3 linked regions of the Drosophila melanogaster genome follow. The protein of the gene in region 3 interacts with the protein of the main gene of each other region in a pairwise test. Each region holds a gene or a part of one and is shown on either strand. Other genes may lie near its edges.

Region 1 (9,386 bases), on a different chromosome or scaffold from region 3:
GTAAACCTTAGACAGGTGCTCGCGCACATAGGGCTCACTGAAGGAAATAAAAGGAGGACTATTAGTTTCAAGGTCCATCGATCCGATGGACAACTGTTGATGTGGTTGGATACCAAAACAACACGTCAGTGCAACGCACTTGGACCCCAACCTCTAAGGGGGTGACCCATCGGCATGTAATACTTACTAACGGTCACCGAGCCCGTTCATGAAGGTCTGGAAACGGTCGTTGATGTAATTCGCAGTATCTGCCATTGTAGTCTTTTTCGCACTTGCTCTTGCTAGTTTCCAGTAATATTACACATAAGTTTGTCAAACGGAGGAGTGAATTAGAACTGTTTGCACTGATGTTTTAAAACTGACTGTTTACTTTGTAAGGCCTACTCGGCTCTATTTTCTTGCCTTTTCTTTCTGTATTTCACGAAATCTGTTTTATCAGCTTTTAGTGTTGGATAAGTTGCTATAGGTTAGTGCTGACGACGTGGTCTTTTTACAGCTACATTTAGATTTGAACTTTATGCTCGTATTCATTATTAAACTCACCGTATACACATAAATACTTGTACAACATACTATAAATTAAGTTTAACATATAATCCTGTTAATTGAATAAATAAATAATACTCCAGTTCAATTTTGTATAAATCTTTTGGATTTTATACCAGCCTTTTTTTTTTCAAAACTAGAACACCGTCAGCACTGTTGATAAGGTGGTGTTTTCGACAATTGCCCACCTGAGTCAGTGTTGGGTAAACGGACATTTTTCGAACTTCCAGATGATTCTATGACGTGTTTTTCGGTTGCGCGCGCTGCCTACTTTCCATTTGAAAAGCAACGAAGTTCGAAACGACTAGTAAATGTTTTTTTTATTTCGCGCTAGATCCAAAAACAAGGTAATTGGCGTATTTTCTAAAAACATTGTACATGGTAAATAATAAACTATGGCAAATTGGGCGACTAGGTGCTGTTACTTGTCCATAAAACAAGAAAACTCTAAAAATTCTATAGTGTATATATAGGGTCCCAGAAGAATGGGACAACATTACCTGCTTTGGCATGACTTAACAGACAGTAATGGTTTGTATAAATTCATATGTAGTTTGTTTCATCGAGATCACAATCACAGTATAAATTGTACAAGACATCGTTAAGCTCATAATACTCTTAACACCTCTAGGCTCTCGCTCTGCGGAGAGTTACAGGTACTTTTCAAATCGTAGACTTGATTTAACAAGGTGTAATTGCAATTCGGGATTAGTGGGACATGATCTTAGTCGAGTATCGTTTACAAAATGTATATACAAATTAAAAGTAAAGCTAGAATTTAAAAAAGTAAAATGTAGATGATACAATTGGAGGCCTAAGTTGTGTAAAATGAGCCGCGAGTAGTACAGTATCTCGGGGGGAACTGAATGACTTTGTTCTTTTCTTGGAACCTATGTTAGGAACTACATCAGCTTGTAACGTTAGTATAGTTAACTACGATAAATGCGATTGGGACGTTTCTCTTTTAGAGTAATTTAGTCTAAAAATCATGGTATTTGGGCTAAAAGCACACACTCGACTTATTCTATACAAACATATGGTTTTCTCCATCCGTTTATGCGGATGGATTCAGTCGGCATTTGAATGCTACAAAAATTCACTCACACTCAGTCTCAAGCACACAATTATGATCGACTTAAGTTTAATTGTTAAATAAAAACAAGATTAAACAAATGCGTGGAGAATGTTTACAACAAAAGATCGCGAAATATTTGAAAATACATTAGGGATAACGATTTTCGGCCTCAGTCGGCAAAATGATTTTGTTAATATAACAATTTCCATATTAATTGCACGCACAAGTGCAATAATTTTGTAATTTTTACATACAATTTTGTTGTACAATTATAAAGTCATTAACTAATAAGATGTTTTTTTTTTTATATAATAAGAGTACAAGAAGACACACAATACAAGACAGTTTTGGTAAAGGTTTTTTCTGGAACAATTCTTTTTTTCATACGTTTATGTTTTATTAAATAAACCGAAATTTTAGAGTACAATAATATTGAAATTCTGCTGCGAAGACGGCGGTGCAGGAATGCTAGTTGTTTGTTGTTTGATGATCCAGTGCGCATCAGTGTCTATAATGTCCCACGCTGACTGTCCCCTTGGCTTCTCCATCGATCCTCCTGCTACTGCTGCTGACTTCGGTCTGCCGGTCTTGATGTTGCCAGGATTCTGTGATGTGAAGTTGGATGGATCCAGAGGCAGTCCCCGTCCGTCGTTGGTAAAATCTTGTCAGCATTTCGGCTTATTATAGTATGTCTAGAAGAACTATGCTGTTTGCCATATTCATATCCTACGTATTGGTAATGTTAGATACAAATCGAAAATCTGTTAATTGTGGCTAGCTTGTCATCCCACCAAGCTGCGGCTTATTGTTTGTTAATAGAGTGTGTTTAGTATATCTGTGTTGCATCTTTACACTTGATTACGGGTCCACTGGCGATGGTTCCAACTTCCACTTACGGCAGTCAATGCCGGGAACGGTGCTCCTCACGCCTGTCGCGATCACGCTCCCGCTCGCGGTCGCGGTCTCGATCGCGGTCGCGTCGCTCACGGTCCGAGGAGCGGTACCTTTCCCGATCCTCGTAGTAGCGCTTCGATGATGGCGCCTCCGCTGCTTCGGCGACTACGGGTTCCGGCGACTTTCGTGGACGCACCGATCGGCTGTTTTCGGATTATGGGATTGAAATTAACGCAAGGTTTTCATTTCGAGCTTAAAAATAATTCGCTTAATTGTCACCGTATATTGTTGCACAAAAGAGCAAAAATATTCTGATGAGCCTAAACAGTTACAATTCAAGCTAACATCTTTACAGAAAGCTTTTAATGAAAATAAAAAATTTGAAAAGCCTATACCTTAAAAATACTACCTTTTAATAAATTATACATTTTTCCAAATATTTTAAAATAAAGTTTCGTCTGACTTTACAAATCTACACTTGTTTTTACAGCAAAAGTAAAAAATCTGTTTACGAGTGAATAAATTATGAGTTCTATGCTATTTAAATGAAGCACTATGATTAATTAATCAGCAACTTTTAAATGAGACAGTGAAGCGAATTTTTAGAAGTAGAACGTCTTTACCTGTCATCCCTGTAGTGATCTGGAGCCTGGCGTTCACGTTCTCTACTGCGAGACCTCTCTCTGTAGCTTCTAGAAAATGAATACGGAATTAAGTGTGAGGCTTACACATGGTAGAACCAAAACTTACCCGCCATCCCGTTCACGCTCACGATCCCGATCGCGTTCCCGCTCCCGAGATCGCTCGCGGTACCTGGACGTGGAACGCTCACGTCGCTGTCGGCTGCGATGAGATCGCTCCCTCGACCGCGACCTTTCGCGCCTATTGTAGCTCTTGGCCTCGATGCCATGCAACGTGTCCTGCAGCGAGCTAATCAGAATTTTGCATCGCTCATCGTGCGCTACCTTGGACTGTTTGATCAGTGAAATGGCTGTGACCAGTGTCTCGATGGCGCTCGAGTATTCACCAGCGGCTGCATCAGAAACAGCTCTGAAAATAAATTAGCATAAAAAGGGAATTGATATTTGATCAACAAAGTAATTAATTATCTAGATAATTTATTAATTAGACCGGATCTGAGTCATAGTTTCAATAATTGGAATTTTCTATGAATTCGACTTAGGAATGGGTTAGTTTTTAAATAATAACTACAAGTTTTGACCTCGTTAAAGAAAACATTTTAAAAACCTTTGCACTCACCTGGCGATCGCCGAACTGCTGACTGTGCGATTTCTGCTCATCACCTCCTCGAACTCCACCTCCGTCAGTTGCGGACCCATCTGCTGCGGATCGGGGAAGGGACCTGGTGGCTTACCCTGCGGTGGCGGCCACGGACCACGTGGTCCATGCTGGGCGAACTGGGGTGGCGGTCCATGCTGTGGCGTCATGTTCATGCCCTGTTGCGGTGGCATATTCATGCCTGGCTGTGGACCTGGTGCTCCGTGGGGCGGGCCACCCATGCCCGGATGCTGGGCAGGACCACCAGGCTGGTTAAAGAATGCTGGGTTCACGTGGGGTGCGGGTGCGCCGTGTGGTCCGCCCGGACCTGGTGCTGGGGGAAGGCCACGTGGCGGACCTTGCGGCGGGAAACCACCGTGCATGGGTGGACGACGCCAGTCGGGACCTGCCGGACCCCTGACGGGCATGCCCATTGGGCCTCCTTGGAACTGCAAGGCAGAAGAGACAAGATTATTTACTGTTCCCAATGATCGGATCGAATCGGTTTCTAAGCTATAGTATGAGTTTGTGTTGCATGGGTTGATCTGTGGAATTACTGAAAATGTTCTGAATACATCGCTTAAGACTAAGTTAACTAAGGTTAACTTAAGTTGGGTTAGTCTTCCTTTATCTCGCCTTCTCTCTGGCTTCGTTAGAATTATATTATGGCATAGATACAAAGAGGACTCAGTGCTTTGGGGATTGTTACCATTGGTCGCTGCGGTGGTCCGTTCGGTGGACCTGGTCGCGGCCCGCCTGGCCGCTGACCTGGCCATTGGCCCTGCGCTGACGGATACCGGGGTGGCGGCTGTTGGTTCCCCATGAGCCCGCCTTGCGGATGCATTGGCGGCTATATTAATACGAATTACGTTTTATATTGAAGTAGTAGTTGTTGTTGTGGGGTAGAAGTGTGCGTAAGCGTTGTCAAAGACATGGAATAGAACATAAATCGTAATACATAAACATTTTGTATAACAATAGCGGGCCATTATACACAATTACAAATACTAGGGGGGGAAATACATTAACGCAATTAAATCAAAAGTATATATTATTTGAGTGGAACCAGGAAGGCACTGCTCTTGATTTTAATTTATTACATGTGCTTTTTTTTGTTGAAAGTCTATGACTAGAGTACAAAAGGAGTAAAAAGAATACAAACTGCCTTAGGCCGAGGAGTGCTACAAAAAATTGCTCTGAAATTACTTGTGAATTAATAGAAGTAAAGAATAAGAATAGTACTTAAAGACATAAATAAAAATTCTTAGAAACTTAATTTGTACGACAGCTTTAGTTTAGTTTATAAATTATCAAATGAAATACTAACAAGAGATCGGATATTTCAGATTGTTTATATCTCACATCTAAAGTCGTTATTGTTTTCTCTAAATTGTAAAACTAAGTTTCTACGTTTAATTTACAAAAGAATATCGAACAACTGAAGTAGAACATATTCGTTTATAAACTATACATGAAGTCGTATATTTAGGGTTTCTAATTTTACCTAAGTAAGCAAATTTTGCATTCAGAACAATTTTGATGGAAATAGGAAATAATGTAGGAATGTAGAAACAAAACAAATTAGAACCGAGCGATATTTCTACAAACGATGAGACCTCTTGGGGCCATGTGGGGCTAAAACAGTGGTTGTGTACCTGCATTCGTGGAGGTCCTGAGTTGGGTCCGCCCACCTGGGGAACCTGCGACATGTGCTGCGGTCGGTACTGGCCCGGCTGCATGATGGAGTTCATCCCGCGCGGTGGATGTCCCGGTGGTCCACCTCCTTGCGGTCCTCCTGGATGTCCGGTGGGCATTGGCCCGCCACCCATACTGGGTGGTGCCGGACCCCTGGGCGGTCCATTCTGCTGCGGCGGCGGCACTGGACGCGTCTTTTGCAGACTCTCGAATTGGGTGAGTGCCTGCTTGCTGGGATACGTGACCACCGGCGCTTGGCCGTGCATCTCCTTCTTGGGCAGCTGGTCGAGCACGGCGCGCAGGCTAGATTCTGAGCCGAGGGAGATTACACTGAAGCCCTTCGACTGACCGTTGGCCCTGTTCTCAAAAAACTTCACTTCCTGTAGATCACTCACGCCAATGTCTCGCAGCGAATTGGCGATATCCTGGTCAGTGGTCCACCATGTGAGATTGCCCACATAAAGCTGGTAGCGGCGATTCATGGTCGGAGTGAGGCTACCACTGCTCTGATGGTACACCCCATTGGGACCACCGGAATTCCGTTCGCCGGGTTCCCCGGAGCCTGGCCCTGCGGCTCCATCTGCGGAGGGCGTTCCACCGCCCCCGCCACCTGAGGCGGCCGATTCGGTGGGACCGCCTATGTCATCGTATAGGTCTACTCCATCGCCTCCAAATTCGTCCTGTGCGGATAAAGCAAAGTAATTAACAAGTGGGTCAAACTGTTGTGGGAATCCCGTAAAATCGTTAAAAATAAACGATCAAGTCTTGTTTTTTTTACAAATTCGATTTTACTCTATTTTTACTTTAGAATTTTTAGAATGTATAGTTATTGGGATTCGTACAATTCTCTACATTTCCATGGCTAAAGAAATTAAAAAAAATTACGTTTCATTTTTATATAAATATAATATCCCTGCACTCAGTTCCTAGAACCCTACTTTACAAGGTACCAAGTGGTCGAGTTCGCCCAAGACGCCGTTCTACCCCCTAACGCAATTCTTTCGGACATCGATCCACCCTACTGTATACATACACACGCGGCTTGCAGAGCGACTGCCTTTTTCCCATGGCTTACCTGAGCCTGCCCGGCAAAGTCCTTGTCGAGGTCCTCCGCGTACAGATCCAAGACCACGTCGGCCATGTTGAGCCGGAAAAGTTGCTATTCCTAGGCGTAATTACTGATTTTTCACCGCTTTTCCCAATTTTCGCACGCACACTAAGACACTCGCCAATCTTTCCGTCTCTGTCCCACTTGCACTCGCGCCTCGTACAGTTTCTTTTTTTTTGCGGGGGAGGGGGAAGCCGGAGCAGAAACCGGCGTGCTGCTGCGCGATTTAGCCGGGTAATCGCGCCCGCTGCACAATTAATTGATTAATTGCTTTGGCGCGTTGTTTTCCGTTGGGTGAATTCTGTAACTATTTACATTCTACTCGTGCACGAACTAGTTTCTTCAATCTTGCGAAAAAATTGTCAGCGTAAAATGGCGGAGCGGTGCAGTGTGACTGTAAAGCTGAAATGTGGAAAACCTATGCGGTATATTTTTGCTCGCATACTAGAAAATACCACATCCTGTTTGGGGTATTCCGCAATTTGACAGTTAATGAGAATACAACTACGATAAAATATATTTAATGAATAGAATTTAATTAGATGTGTTTGTTACCTAAATCGCTTTATTATTACCATAAAATAATCACAAATACTTGACATCAATTTCCAATTTGACTGTGGTCGTAGCGTGGACACAAACCATTGAAAATATATCGACTTCTATCGAATTTTGAATTTTAAAACCAACCGTTAGAACTTTCTTGAAATGTGTAATAAGTTCATTAGGTTCTTTGTTATTAAAAATCGACATGTGAAAATACTTAACATTCATTACAACACCCATAACAGGCATATCTTAATTTAAATATGCATACTTCTAATAAATTTGCCTTTTTAGGGGACCACCATCACACACACATTAATTTGCATAAATTGTTAATGCTGCCCAAAAACTATAGCCATGCATATATTAGATTTGCAGGTCCAAATAGACGCTGACCGTGTCACTTGCACAACTAGACAGCGCACTTGGCCAGAGCTCCAAATTTAGAATTTAAATATAGCAATTAAGCTGATTTATGCGGCCCGTCTGCAGGTTACAATAATTGCCGCTAACAACTCGGCTCTCCGAAATCTTCGAACTTGCTGGTGGCTGGGAACCGAGGAGATTGTGGCGCCGTCGACTTGGCCACTCGTATGCAAATGCGCGGTGAAAAATTGGGGGAAAAAAAAACCGAGGCAGCATTTTTTAGTCGGGCCTGTGAAAAAAAAGACACATATCCCGAAATCTAGTGCATGATTAGCCATGTTATTCGTGTATCTGATGTTTTTTCATTTTTCTTCTCGTATTTGGGCAGTAGTCCACCTGTTGGTATTTAGTTTTTAACTTTGGCTCTTTGACTCCCATATGTTAGTTGCGTTAATGAATTGCCTTAAATGTCAATTACCACTGGCTTTTATCGTCCAATCTGAACGGACGGCAATTATATTTGCTGCTCTCGCCTCATGCGATTGTGTGTTTAATTAACAAGAGTAATTAAATGGGTAATTACGATCTTTACAGCAATCAATCGATTTTTAAATGCTTCAGCGAATAAAGCTATTGCAGATTGGATTTTCGCGATTTGCATATGTGGAAATGTGTTTCCAATTCAAGGTGGGCGGTTCTTCAAGAGCAATCACGCAGATGGAAATCGACGGATGTTGGTGGCGAGGGTGCAGTCAATTGAAATTCTCGGCTAATCGCTGACATTTTTGGGACAGAATTGGGGCTCAAAGGTGCAACATTGAAGGGGAGGAGACTTACGCACGTAGTATTTATCTTAAATATACTGCACGCTTTTAAAATAACCAACAATAATAGGATAAAAATCAATTGCTATGAAAATATTGCGCATACGCCGTGTGGCCTTTGGCTGGCTATCATAAAAGTCGTATAAGTGTTATTGAATGTTTCCGATCACTTAGATCTACATAATGGCTACCACTCATATCAATTGCCCCCCATCGACCATTTCGGACGTGCGTAAGTCATGTCAAAAATTTATTGCGTGACCATTGGCTGGGATACTTTATCAAAAAGCGGCGCCGCAGCCTAACAAAGTGCCAACTTGCAACTTCCAAGCTTCCAACTGCCCAGTAGCCGTCGTGCCGCTCCACCACCATCAGTTGGGCAATGGATACGCAAAGAGAACATGCATAAATCTCACACCACAGCCGGCCATCAAGTGCACCTACACAGCAGCAGTCATTCGATGCGATTCGATTCGGTTCGGTCCTGGCCAAGTGTCGAGGTGCCAATTAAGGCTACACACTGCTGGGTATTTTGACCATATCATACTGCAAACTGCGAACTGTAAGCTACAAACTGCACTGCATGGATAATTTTTTTAACTCCGTGGAGCGACCGAAATGGACCAGGCCGAGTGTCATTTGATTCTTGTGGCAGGCTGGCGCGTTTCATGCGCCTTTGACATGCAACCAGGGTCCAAATCCAAAGCTCCATGCCGAGTCGGCACAGTTTACACGAATCACCAGCAAACAAAACAAAAAAAAAAAAAGAAAAAAAAAACCACCAGAAACCGACAAAAAGCGAACAAAAAACAAAAAAAAAAAAAAACATTACGAAATTTGTCGTCTGACAAAAAGCTTAGAAAACGATATAAATTAAATTTACGTTTTTGGTGCTCATTAAATGTTCACAACTTTGGGCCCAGCGAGGCATTTTCGGTTGCAAAATTAGAACATCGCTTTGGGAAATCGCCGCCAAAATGCAGTTAATTGTTTTTCGCTCTTGTTAAAGTTTTCTACTCGGTTTTCTCGCGATTGTCACAAATTGAATAATGTC
Region 2 (6,899 bases), on a different chromosome or scaffold from region 3:
GTAGTTGGGGATTCGGTGGTGGGTGTATATGATTTCGAACAAAGCTTAAAATTAATGAATTTTGCTAGCTAGTGCTTATTATTAGAATATTTAAACAATTTGTAACATTGTAATTGAAAATGATGACTTTTAAAAGTTTGAAAAGTTTGATTATATTATTTGGGCTTAAATACTGTAATTTCTAGCATTCTTGCATTGTTTTAGAAATGGCAATTCCGTTTTGAACCTTGATCCATCTCTGTTTAAGTCCAGATAATATTTGGAAAATAAAAAAAGATCTTATTATATGTAGGAACGTTTAAAATGTAATAAGCTACATTCATTTTCACCAAAAAAGAATTATAAAAAATGAACTACAAACTCCAGTGAACTCCAGGAAGAAACATGCATATAGACCACTTTAGGAAGAGCTTAAAAAATAAACCGACACGGAAAATCGTAAAAAGAAACTTTGCCAGCCAATGAAGCCTGAAGAGCAAATAAACTAAGAAATAGAATTCAAACAAAGAATCCAATTGAGCATTAAACTAACCGAATCGAAATACAAACACCAGACAATAGCAACATAAACCAAATGGCAAGGCGACCAGAAATAGTAAACTTATAAAAAACAAAGCAAAGTTGGCCAGAACCGGTTAAAGAAATTAAAACAAACCTAAATAAAATTAGCACCAATTAGCAGTAAACAAAAATAAATAGTGAAAATCGCAGAGTTTAGCTGGAAGCATCAAAACATAGTTGAGGTGCCGAAAGTCATTAAGATAAACTTAGACTGATCCAGTTTCAGATGAGTTGGTTCTTCTTGATTAGTTTAAAATGTACACGGTGAAAAATTACAGTGATTTAACGTAATTATATATATATATATATATATATCTAAGGTATTAAATAGGTTTATAAAGGAAATATTCGAAAGGTGCTTAAAAGTATGCAATAAAAACCATATCCTGGGCAGTAAAATATATTGCTGCAAGTTTTGTAAGAAAATTAAAAAAAACTTAAAACTATAGGGTATCCAGAAAATGATAGCCACATTTCCTGGTTTGACCAAATGCGAATGGAGAATGACAAGATTCTCACTTTTTAAGTGCCGTCTACCATTTGCGGGTTCATTTAACTTTGGCGCGTGTTCTCCCAGCGTTGGGCCCCTAAATGCACTTCAAGTTAATATGTAAAATAACAACAATATCGTATATACATACATATGTACATACATCATCGATGAGGCATACCCAATCCCGGCGCTCTATTGGTATTTTTTTGTCGGCCAGACTGACGAGCCATTGAACTTGGAGTGCGTAAACCCGTTTTTGGGATGCCTCGTTTGGCCCGATTCGGATTCGGTTCAGTTCGAGACCGGAACGGATCGGTGGGAACTTATTAAGCTAGGTCATGACGTGGTCCAAATTGGATTGACCCGAACCGTTCTGAAGACCCCGTTTGGCGCTACACTCAACGAAAACGGGTGGCAATTGAGTTAAAAGTCAATTATAAAGATTTTCGATGGCATTTATTATAAAAAAAAAAATGTTATTAATTTTATGAATTTGAATTAAAGATTTTCAAAATGTTGAAAATAATAATGATATATGATACCCTTTAAAATCCAATGAAAATGTGATTTTTTTTTTCTTACTGATTTAAAATTATGTATGGAACACAATCTTTTAAATTATTAAAGAATTGTCGAATGCTTTTAACGTGTGACGATTTTACCCGTTTGCTTTCTTTCAAACTTTCCTCTCGCATTTTATTAACCCCTTTACATAAATCGCTGATTTGGTGATCTTCATCTGGAGTTAATCAACTCCATTCGGATCGTATCATATCAGCCGCCTTTTCCCCAATCATAAATGCCGCTGCATTTGTGTGAGCGGTGGGTGGAAACGGTATGATACTGGTGTCCACCACCCGAAGTTTCCTCACTCCATGCACCTTTAGCTGATGATTGACCACGGTGGTGGGATCACTTTCGGCGCCCATGCGACAGGTGGCCACCTGGTGGTGCAGTGTGTAGGATAGCGTGCGTATGGAGCACCGCCAATAATCATCCGAGGCGAATTCGTAGTTCTCACAACCTGGCACCGGCTTGTCCAACAATCTGGTTCCAATCGCCTGCATGGCCGGCATCTTGGAGATTCTGAGTGCCTCCTTAATGCCCTCCAGCAAGTTCTCCACATCCGACGGAGCCGAAAAGTACTTGGGATCGATGCGTGGCCACTCGAGTGGATTGCGATTGTGCAGCCAGAGGCGACCCACGGAGGCGGGCTTGAAGTGCATGATGAGGAAGCTAAAGTGATCCTGCTGCCTCAACGTCAGATTCTTGTACATTTTCTCGTAGATCTCGGGCTTAAAGTTGGCTCCTTTGGCCAGGGCAGTGCCATCATCGCTAGCCAGGCTGCCGGCCACTTGGATGAGTTCCACATCGGGTTGGGTGGCCGGACTCTTGCCCGACGGCACCTTGATGAAGGTGAGCGTCTCTACGCCACCGATACTGGACAGAAAGGTGTCTGCCCGGCCCAGTAGAAACTCCTTGGCCACCGGTGCGCCCAATTGAGCGGCAAATAGAGTCTGGCCCGTTGTGTTGGTCACAAAAGTGGGTCCAAAGTGGCACATGTGATCGAACATTCTCTTACCCACTGGCAGTGCCTTGATCAGGGGTATTCCAATGGCCTTGAGGTTATCTTCTGGCCCAATCCCCGACAGCATCAGCAACTGTGGAGAGTTGAAGGCACCCGCCGATAGAATGATTTCCTTGCGGGCTTTCACCTTAAAGCTTCTGCCCTGATGGGTCAACTCCACTCCATAGGCGGACTTGGTGGCTGCATCTATCAGAACTCGGGTGACTCTAGCCAGTGTTAGAATGTGCAGATTATGACGCCTAGATCTTATGGGCTCAATATAGGCACGAAAGGCACTGTGCCTCCTGCCCTTCAGTGTGGTGGCCTGCACATAGGAAACGCCCAGCTGGGATTCACCATTGTAGTCCGTTCTCGGATGACCCGCCTCCTGGGCAGCTCTAATGTAGGCGTGTGCAAGTCGCGTCCGGTGTCGCACATCCTCCACACTCAAGGGACCACTGTGATTGTGATATGGCGAGTGCTCCAATCCCTGAAGCTGTGCATGCTCACTTCGCAGAAAGTAGGGCAACACCTCGTCGTAACTCCAGCCGGGATTTCCAGCTGCCGCCCAGGCATCAAAATCCCTACGATTGCCCCGATTGTAGATCATGTAATTGATCGAGCTAGTGCCACCCAGAACTTTGCCCCTCGGCAGGGCACACTTGTTATCGGGCATTCCACGACAGGCATGGCGTTGTGGCGTCGAGTTGTAGCCCCAATTGGAGGCAGTCGACTGCAAATGGGCCGCCAGTAATGGCACCTGATGCACTATGTTCTCCACTCCTCCGGCTTCGATAAGGAACACACTCCAATTGGGATTCTCCGAGAGACGAGCGGCCAATGTACAGCCAGCAGCTCCGCCTCCAACTATTATGAAGTCATAGTTTCTTTGGGGAACTGCAAGGAGATTTTAAAATATATGTGTTAAATCGATTACAAATTTTCCAGTACTAAAAGCATGGAACTCTCTGGCATAAATACGCTTATTATATTGGAGCACATATAGGTACTTGAATATTTCCATGATTTGAATAAACCCTCACCATCGCTGAAGAATGGCACATTGACGACATTTCCCAATCCCAGTCGCCGCAGTTCGTCCAGTTGGGAGCTCCTTTGGGAGTGGATCAGTGGGATCAGGAGCAGAAACAGAAGCTGGGTCAGCAGCAGCTTCTCCATGGTTGCGATGGCCGGTAACTGAACTCTGTGGCTACCGAGCTTTCCGTGATATTGGACCTCTACGTCTGCCAACGCACTGTGGAACGAGTTTTAAAAGTCTCAAAAAAATCTAGATATGTGATTTATTTTATATTTTACTATTATTGCGCTTTTTATTTATGGGCGTGGAAAGTTAGTTAGTGAACATTAATTGAAACTTTTATTATTTTATTTCAAATGGAACTTGCTCCACTGTGGATTATCTTGCCGGTTTGGTTCTCCCTCACTGATCTCTATACCCCCCTCTCTTTCGCGCCGCCTTTCTCCGCATCACTACGTCTTCTTTTTTTCCTCCACTGTTGAGATGAGTTGGTTGACTTGGTGGCCAGGTTTGTAGGGCCAAAACAGGCTGAGATTGTCTCAGAATTTTTATTGCCACTTGCTAATTTGCGCATTCTGCTTGCTCATCTCTACGGTCTTGCCTCTCTTTTATTTGCTGTTCCTCTGTCTCTTTTCTAATGCAGAAAACAAAAATTTAGATCATTTAAGTTTTGATTTGATAAAGACACCCATGGTAAATGGTTAATTTCTTCAGCAATTTGTAATTAGTTTTTCTTAAAATTAATGATTTTTGCAATATTTTAAATACATATATTATATACATTAGTTTTCTCTCTGTGTTTCTTCTGCATCTGAGCTCGGTTCAATGGCATTTGGATGGGCATCTTGTGCTGGCTTTGTTTATATTTTTATTTTTTATGCCGGACTGTCAGTTAAATCTTTGAAGATTGAAGCACCAGCGGCTCGGGCACTCGAGGGTTAATATATATTTCAAGCCACCCCATAGAGTATTATAATCAAGAAAAAACCAAAACAAAACAAAACCAAAAACGATTAAACGACTTTAGGTCTAGCCAAAAATAAAAAAATGTATAAAAGGGGTGGCTCAGTGCAGTTGGTATCAACCCCAGCATATGGATGCAGTTCATCCAATCCCACAATAAAAGTCATTGGATGCCCTTACAAAACCAAAGCAGCCGAAAGGGGAACATGAAACCAAAATGTGAACAAGACTGGGATTTCACAGAGGACATTGATGTGAAATTCGGAGGAAGGGCCATGTTTTGGTCATGGCAATTGCATTCAAAATTTGTCTCTATTGTGTTCGCCTTTTTCTTTTTTTTTTTGAGCGGCTCAAACCGCCCCCTCGATTCATGAATATTTCAATTTGTGTTAATGAAAAGTCTAGTGACTTTTTTCGAAAGGAAAGGGAAATGTTTTCATGAGTTTTCAATGGGAAATAGGATAGCCTATAGCTCACTCGGTATTTAGTCAAAAGTAAATGAAATAAAATTTGTGCAACAAATAAATTGAGTTGTACGTAAATTGCCTTGTTTTCTATATGCACATGTAAGTTTATAGAATATATGTGAATATATTAAATTTAATAAGCACTGTCAAAGGCTAGTCACGTAGTGACGAATGTGATTTAGAATCACAAGCCGGCTTTGAAATTCTTCGAAAAATATAAAATCCAAGAGCTTTAAGCTGAGCTCAAAGCTTTTCGTTTCATTTCGATTTGAATAGAATTTTAATATAGCCTACCCTTGGGGATATTGAAAGATATACTTATACCAAAGCAATTATTCTCAATTTTCGACTGATTTATACCCACTCTACATACATAAATAATTCTAAGGTCAAATCGATGCGAATTATACCAAGATCAATCCAAAGACTCAGCACCGAAAATTGCTTGAACAAAACACCTAACAAATTATTCACACCGGCTAAGTTCGTTAGACAAGATAAAAAACGAACGCAAAAAAAACGAGAGTGATGAATAAAAAAAAAATCATTTCCGCAACAATAAAAAGATCGAGAGAAACTCAAAAACAAAGGCGTGTAATAAATCAAAACAAAAAATCGTCAAACAAGCGGACAACTTCATGTATTTCACAGATTTTGATTATGAAGCCACAAATTGATTAGCATGAAAAGTGCCAGAGTTGAAAATCCCTATTGATATAAATGAGACAATGCCAAAGACAGAAGTCCAATAAAATTCAATGTCAAAGTCAAATGGTTTAGGCAGTACGAATTTTTTGGGCCTATAACTATTGTTATTTTTTCTGGTATTCAAGGAGTTGGATAGTTAATCATTTTAAAATTCCCAAAGTCAAATATGCATTCTATAGAGTTCATATAGTTCAATAATTCTGCTTGCATAGTAAACGAATTTTGTTTATATAGTACATACAAAACTTATAATCATTTATTTATGCTTATATAACTAAATCTTAAACTAGAATCAGTTCAGGCAAGAAAGAATTACTACACATAATAACAAAAAGTTTTCGAAGGCCTTAACTAAAACTAAAGCCCCATTTTACACTGGCCATTGCATTTAAGGTGTGATTTAACGAGATGATTCGATGGTAGGCCAGTGTAAATGGGGCTTAAACCTGATTGTGTAATTAACTTTGGGCTAAGATGGCTTCACTGGATGAAACCATGATCCTGTTTAATCATATCGGCTGCCTTCTCGGCAATCATGAAGACGGGTCCATTCGGATGTCCGGACATGATTTCCGGCATAATGCTGGCATCTGCGACTCGCAGATTCTTGATTCCGTGGACACGGAGACGATGGTCCACAACTGCAGCTCGATCGGATTTGGGACCCATCTTGGCGGTGCCGGAATAATGGTAAATGGTGAAGGTAAAGTGCCTCACATAGCACGCCCAATAGGCCCAACTCTTGTAGGGATGCTGTTTGCATGTGGGTATCTTCTTTTCCCACAACCTGGCATTTATCTTCTCCATGCCACGTTGTTCCATCAGACTAATGGCCTTAAGTAGACCCCGCACCGAGATATCAACATCGTAGGGATGGGCAAAGTAATTGGCATGGATCAGGGGATACTTGAAGGGATCACTGCTCTTCAGCATGATGCGACCGCGACTCTTTGGGCGCAAAATCATGGGGAAGATCATGAAGGCATTCAGTGATTTGTCTTCGATCTCGGCAAAGAGTGTATCGTATATGGACTTCTTCAAACCAAAGGCACGTGAGATGGCCGGATTGGAGGACATGGAACCGCCCACCAGGAAGAGCTC
Region 3 (4,898 bases):
CAAAGTGCAGGGCTCTTCGCGCCGCGCTGTAGAAATTCGAAACGGTTGCGCTTGGGGATTGGATGCTTCCTCCCCCGCACGGAAGTCGCGGAGCGAGTCCAAATGCCGACCTGCATAATTCACCAGTGTAATTACTGGGCCAGCAGCACACTTTTATCCGATTTGGGAACGACGTCAAGCGAAGAAAGTTAGCCTTTAATCACATGGATTTCGTTTCCGGCAAGGCACTGATTTTTCCTAATTCACGTTGGCCATTCACTTACCTCTTACTTAGCAGCAGGTACGTTCCAGCCTGCGATATGATGTGACTTCGAATTAAACGCAAGTTTTTCTCGTAAATTAATACGTATCAGTTTGGTCGGGGCTCCCGTGCGAACTAGAGATGGACGGGCAAAGTTGATCTAGTTCGATAAAAACGAACTGACACAGGGCTGCCACCGATTTGTATCGCACTGCTTTCTCGATCTTACGAAATTTAAAGACCACGTACTTGAAAGTTGCTGTTTTAGTTGTCGATTAAACGCCTAAATATTCAGTACAGTTTGAAAATGTGTTGTCAAATAAAAGTTACGATACAGGTTTCTGGAGCTAGTTGTATTAATAAAATAACTTAAAATAAATTAAAATTGGTAATCGATTTGCATACGGTTAAAGTGCATATTATTTTGAAAGTATAATTTCAATATCGCAGTTGGCCTAAGTTTCTAATAATTTACAATTTGAAAACAGCGCCAAGGCCTGGAATCCCCCCAATAAGTTCTCATTTGTATCGCTAATTTCGCACCTCTAATCTTCAAACGCACATTTTGGTTTATTTTGATTTGAATGCTCTAAGATTCATTTAGTGGCAAATAATTAATTATGGACGACGACATCTCGCTGCCCGCCGACACTTTGGCCATTTTAAACGAATTTCTGTTGGAGAGATCAAAACGCGAAGCCGAGGAGGAGAATCAAATCGCCAACAAGACCGGCAAGGATGCCCAGTTCGAGGAGGATTGGGCAAGAGCACCTGCACATACCTTAGAAACTTATGGTGAAACTCTCTTCGCTTGCAGCAATTGAGTCAGTTCTGGTACAGCACGGAAACCAAGCACGCATTGCGTGATGTTGTGCGTAAGCTTCTGGCGGAGCGCACGGAGGATTCGGGTGACTTTAGTATAGCACTGCTCTCCTGCCCATCGCTCTACAAGGACATCAGGGAGATACATGACACAGGTAAGTGGACATGTGAAACGATTATGAATGAATTGTCATCATTCTATCTTGTAGTGCACATATTCGAGTTCGACAAGCGTTTCGAGGCCTATGGCACAGATTTTGTGCACTACGACTTGAACTGCGTAGGGAGCAACCCGGACTACCTCAAAGAGCACCACCAGCAATATGACCTCATCGTGGCCGACCCGCCCTTCCTGTCCCAGGAGTGCATCGCCAAAACGTGTGAAATAATCACTAGGCTGCAACGAAACCAGAAGGAGAGCAAGGTAATCCTGTGCTCCGGTGAGGTGGTGGAGCCCTGGCTAACCGCTCGCCTGCCCGTCCTCAAGTGCAGCTTCCGCCCGGAACACGAACGCAATCTGGGCAACAAGTTTGTCAGCTACGCCAACTTCAATTTAGACGAGTATATTGAAAATAAATAAGCAATTGCGTTGAGGGATAAATGCCAGTTTGGAGTTGTAGTCTATTTCGCAGTCTGATCGGCTTCCTTGCGCTGCTGCACCAACTCGCGCAGACCGTCTTCCTGGCTCTTAAGGGACTTCTGCAAGAACTCCTTCTTCTTCTCCAGCAGTTCTATCGCTTTGTCGCATTTCTCCTGCCTAGCCTTCAGGTCCTCGCGCATATTCTGTACATCGGTAAGCAGGAACATGCGACCCACGGACTGGTAAACTCTATAGGGAAACAGTTCAATTAGCCACCTGAACACCTGGAGATGATTAATTGTGATTCTAGTTATGTACCTTGTGTCGTCGGCCAAGCTGCTGGTGCCCTTTTCTGTCAGCTGGTACTTTTGTTTGCCTGTCTTGACCATGTCGCACTTCATGTCGATCATGTGGATCTTCTTGGTCGTCTCCAGCTTATTGATCTGCATCTCGGTGAAGGCCTGCGTGCAAAAGGAATCGTCTATGACTAAGTTCTTTGGAAGAGCACGCGCTCTCCGTCGGCAGTCGGCCTTTTTGGCAACTTGCCTTCCGCTCACCTTCTTCAATTCGATGTCCATTTGTGCCATTTTGTGTGATAGCTTTTCCTTCACAGATGATTGAATGCAAATTGCTTGGCTTTGCTGCGAATTCACTGAAAATTGCAACACCTGCGGTAAGCTTATGGTTTTTTTTTTCTACTTTATTAGTGATGGCAGTTATATCTGACTCCTGCTGGCCTGAAAATATCGATGAGTACGCCCTGCACTATCGATAACCAATTTGCCGGCAAGTGTAAATTCAAACCGATTTCAAGACTTTGAATAAATATGCAAATTGAATTTTTCTTTAAAATGTGGTCACTGGTCACTACCAAGTACAAATATTAATTTTTATGTTATCGCTTATAAAATTTTTATTCAAATTTAAAAAGTACACAATCTTAAAAAAATATATACATTTGAGCTATTTTATTTTATATTTAAAGTCTCGCAGTTCCTTAATACATTTTCTTTAGGTCAATTTAAGAATAAAAGGATAGCCTAACCTTAAGTGCGTATAATCCTGACCCAAATTGTTGAATCTTCTTTTAATATATATATCTACAACCTGACAACAACATTTGACCGTTGGAGATTAACCTCAATTGCGAACCAAGAAGCCATGAAACTGCTCCCGAGTTTCCGATGCGGGCTTCTTACTTGCATCAGCTCCTCATTCACAAGACGGCATGGAGCGGTGGCAGAACAAACTGGCTGTGGTAACAGGAGCCAGCGGAGGCATAGGCGCCGCTTGTGCTCGGGCCATGATCGGCGCTGGACTACGGGTGGTGGGCCTGGCACGTCGGGAGGCCAAGTTGAAAGAGCTCAGGGAGAGTCTGCCCCGGGAGCTGCAGGCGAACTTCATACCGCGGCGCTGCGACGTCTCCAAGGAAGATCAGGTGCAGAGCTCTTTTGACTGGATCGAACGGGAGCTGGAGGGCGCCGACGTGCTGCTGAACAATGCTGGCATTACTCGCGAGACGGAACTGGTCACCCCGAGCAATACGCAGAAGCTTAAGGAGGTCATAGACACCAACGTAATGGGCGTGATTTGGTGTACCCGCGAGGCGTTCAATAACATGAAACGGCGAGGTGGCGAAGGTCACGTTCTCATCATCAACAGCATAGCCGGACATCAGGTGCTCAACTTCATCGACGTTTTGCCATCGTTCAATATATATCCGGCCACCAAGTTTGCCATCACCGCCATCACAGAGACATATCGGCAGGAATTTCAGCTGCACTCGAACAAAATCCGGGTTACTGGCATCTGTCCTGGTGCGGTGAACACGAACATCTTCCCGGAAGAGATCCATTTTTACGTCAAAGACATGGCCAGACTCGAACCAGCGAACATTGCGGACGCAGTGATGTATGCTCTGCGAACTCCGCCTCATGTTCAGGTGAGCATAATCACTATTATGTATTAACTTATGACCAATTTAACTAACCACCTTCAGGTACATGAAATCACTATCAAACCCATGGGCGAAATGTTTTAAACTTCTTCCGGTTATAATAGCCATGCAGAGCAAAATATAAATTTCAAGGATTATAGTATGAAAAACACACTGTACTTAATAAAAACTCTGCGCAATATGCATGCCCCATATTAATCATAAACAAGTAGAGTAGAGCTTGAGTTATGAATTTTCTTGAACTGAATTGAATTTTGTTTGTTTACGATTTTTCCAACGATTATCGGACTAGTTTAGCGCCTCCAGCCGCTCTCTTAGTGCTTCCTCGTTTAGCCGGTGCATGCATAGGAACTGGCCGTTGAAGAACAGAACGGGAATGTCGTGCCTGAAGAGGCGGAGGAACCTAACGTTTTCCTTTCGGTCGATGTAAACCTTCTCCAGACGGTATTGACCTGCAAAGCCCTGTTCCAACTGCTCTACAAGGTCGTCGCACAGTGGACAGGGCTCCCTGGTATACAAAGTGAGCAACGGAAGGCCCTCCACCTGATCAATGCTTGGCACCCTGCAAGATGATTTGTGTTAGTAGAAGCAGGCATAACCGAGATCAAAACTCACAGCTTCTCAAGTACCATGGCCATGGAACGGCCATCCGTCGTGCCCATAAAAGCGCAACCCAGTCCGCCTGCAGGAAGGGAATGGACTAGATGCGTTAGCAGGTGGCTGGCTGTGATTTGTTTGAAGTCATGCGTGCACAGGCGGTTGGCATGTAGATCGCCAAGTATGCTTTCAGGTATACCCTTTTGTGTGCCTGTGACCATGTTCCAGGTGTAGATATCACTGGGCGTCACGGGTTCCCTACCATCCAGACGGAACATAGCCTGCTCGTGATCCTGCTCTACAGCGAACTCTCGTAGCAGGGCGAGCGGTTGCAGGTTCAGACGCTGTGCTGTCTGCATAGTAGTCCAGGCCAAAGCAGCGGCACCTAGCGTGGGCGTCAACTCTGGCTCGGTGGCCAGTTCAGTTCCAGCTCGCTTGCGAGTTTGGGGCTGCTGCACGGTCATAAGCTCGTTGGACAGAACGCCGTGCTCCGGCTGAACAACCTGACAGCGAGTGTCGCCCGTAATGATGCACTGGTCTTCGCCGCGCTCCAGGCAGTCCAGCGTCATCTGCAGACCGCTGATGGAGCAGACGTCGTCCTGCAGGGCGAGGGTCTCACACTTGAGGCCCAACTCTTGGGCCACGCTGGAAAGCCGCTCCCTGCACTCTGGAGCGGGCGTCTTGAGGGAGGAGCAAACAAT

What was found.
Region 1: the proteins of Pfdn1 (region 3) and Cpsf6 interact in a two-hybrid assay, tested with the Drosophila melanogaster proteins (one large-scale study listed by BioGRID).
Region 2: the proteins of Pfdn1 (region 3) and CG9522 interact in a two-hybrid assay, tested with the Drosophila melanogaster proteins (one large-scale study listed by BioGRID).

Annotation. Positions count from the first base shown.
Region 1 is NT_037436.4:8,308,509-8,317,894, forward strand, and holds Cpsf6 (cleavage and polyadenylation specific factor 6), read right to left. Parts: upstream 6,995-9,386; 5' UTR 6,630-6,994; coding exon 6,564-6,629; intron 6,169-6,563; coding exon 5,449-6,168; intron 4,644-5,448; coding exon 4,503-4,643; intron 4,243-4,502; coding exon 3,776-4,242; intron 3,566-3,775; coding exon 3,266-3,565; intron 3,208-3,265; coding exon 3,139-3,207; intron 2,719-3,138; coding exon 2,523-2,718; 3' UTR 1,985-2,522; downstream 1-1,984. Other genes in the region: BI-1 (Bax Inhibitor-1), read right to left, coding at 1-37, 188-255. UniProt on the Drosophila melanogaster protein: May play a role in pre-mRNA 3'-processing.
Region 2 is NC_004354.4:14,844,979-14,851,877, forward strand, and holds CG9522 (uncharacterized protein), read right to left. Parts: upstream 3,831-6,899; 5' UTR 3,801-3,830; coding exon 3,665-3,800; intron 3,519-3,664; coding exon 1,804-3,518; 3' UTR 1,494-1,803; downstream 1-1,493. Other genes in the region: CG9521 (uncharacterized protein), read right to left, coding at 6,279-6,899.
Region 3 is NT_033779.5:6,066,553-6,071,450, reverse strand, and holds Pfdn1 (prefoldin 1), read right to left. Parts: upstream 2,373-4,898; 5' UTR 2,231-2,372; coding exon 2,201-2,230; intron 2,105-2,200; coding exon 1,962-2,104; intron 1,893-1,961; coding exon 1,685-1,892; 3' UTR 1,644-1,684; downstream 1-1,643. Other genes in the region: CG9154 (uncharacterized protein), read left to right, coding at 862-1,002, 1,059-1,218, 1,273-1,643; CG9150 (uncharacterized protein), read left to right, coding at 2,872-3,585, 3,643-3,684; CG9147 (uncharacterized protein), read right to left, coding at 3,889-4,162, 4,216-4,898.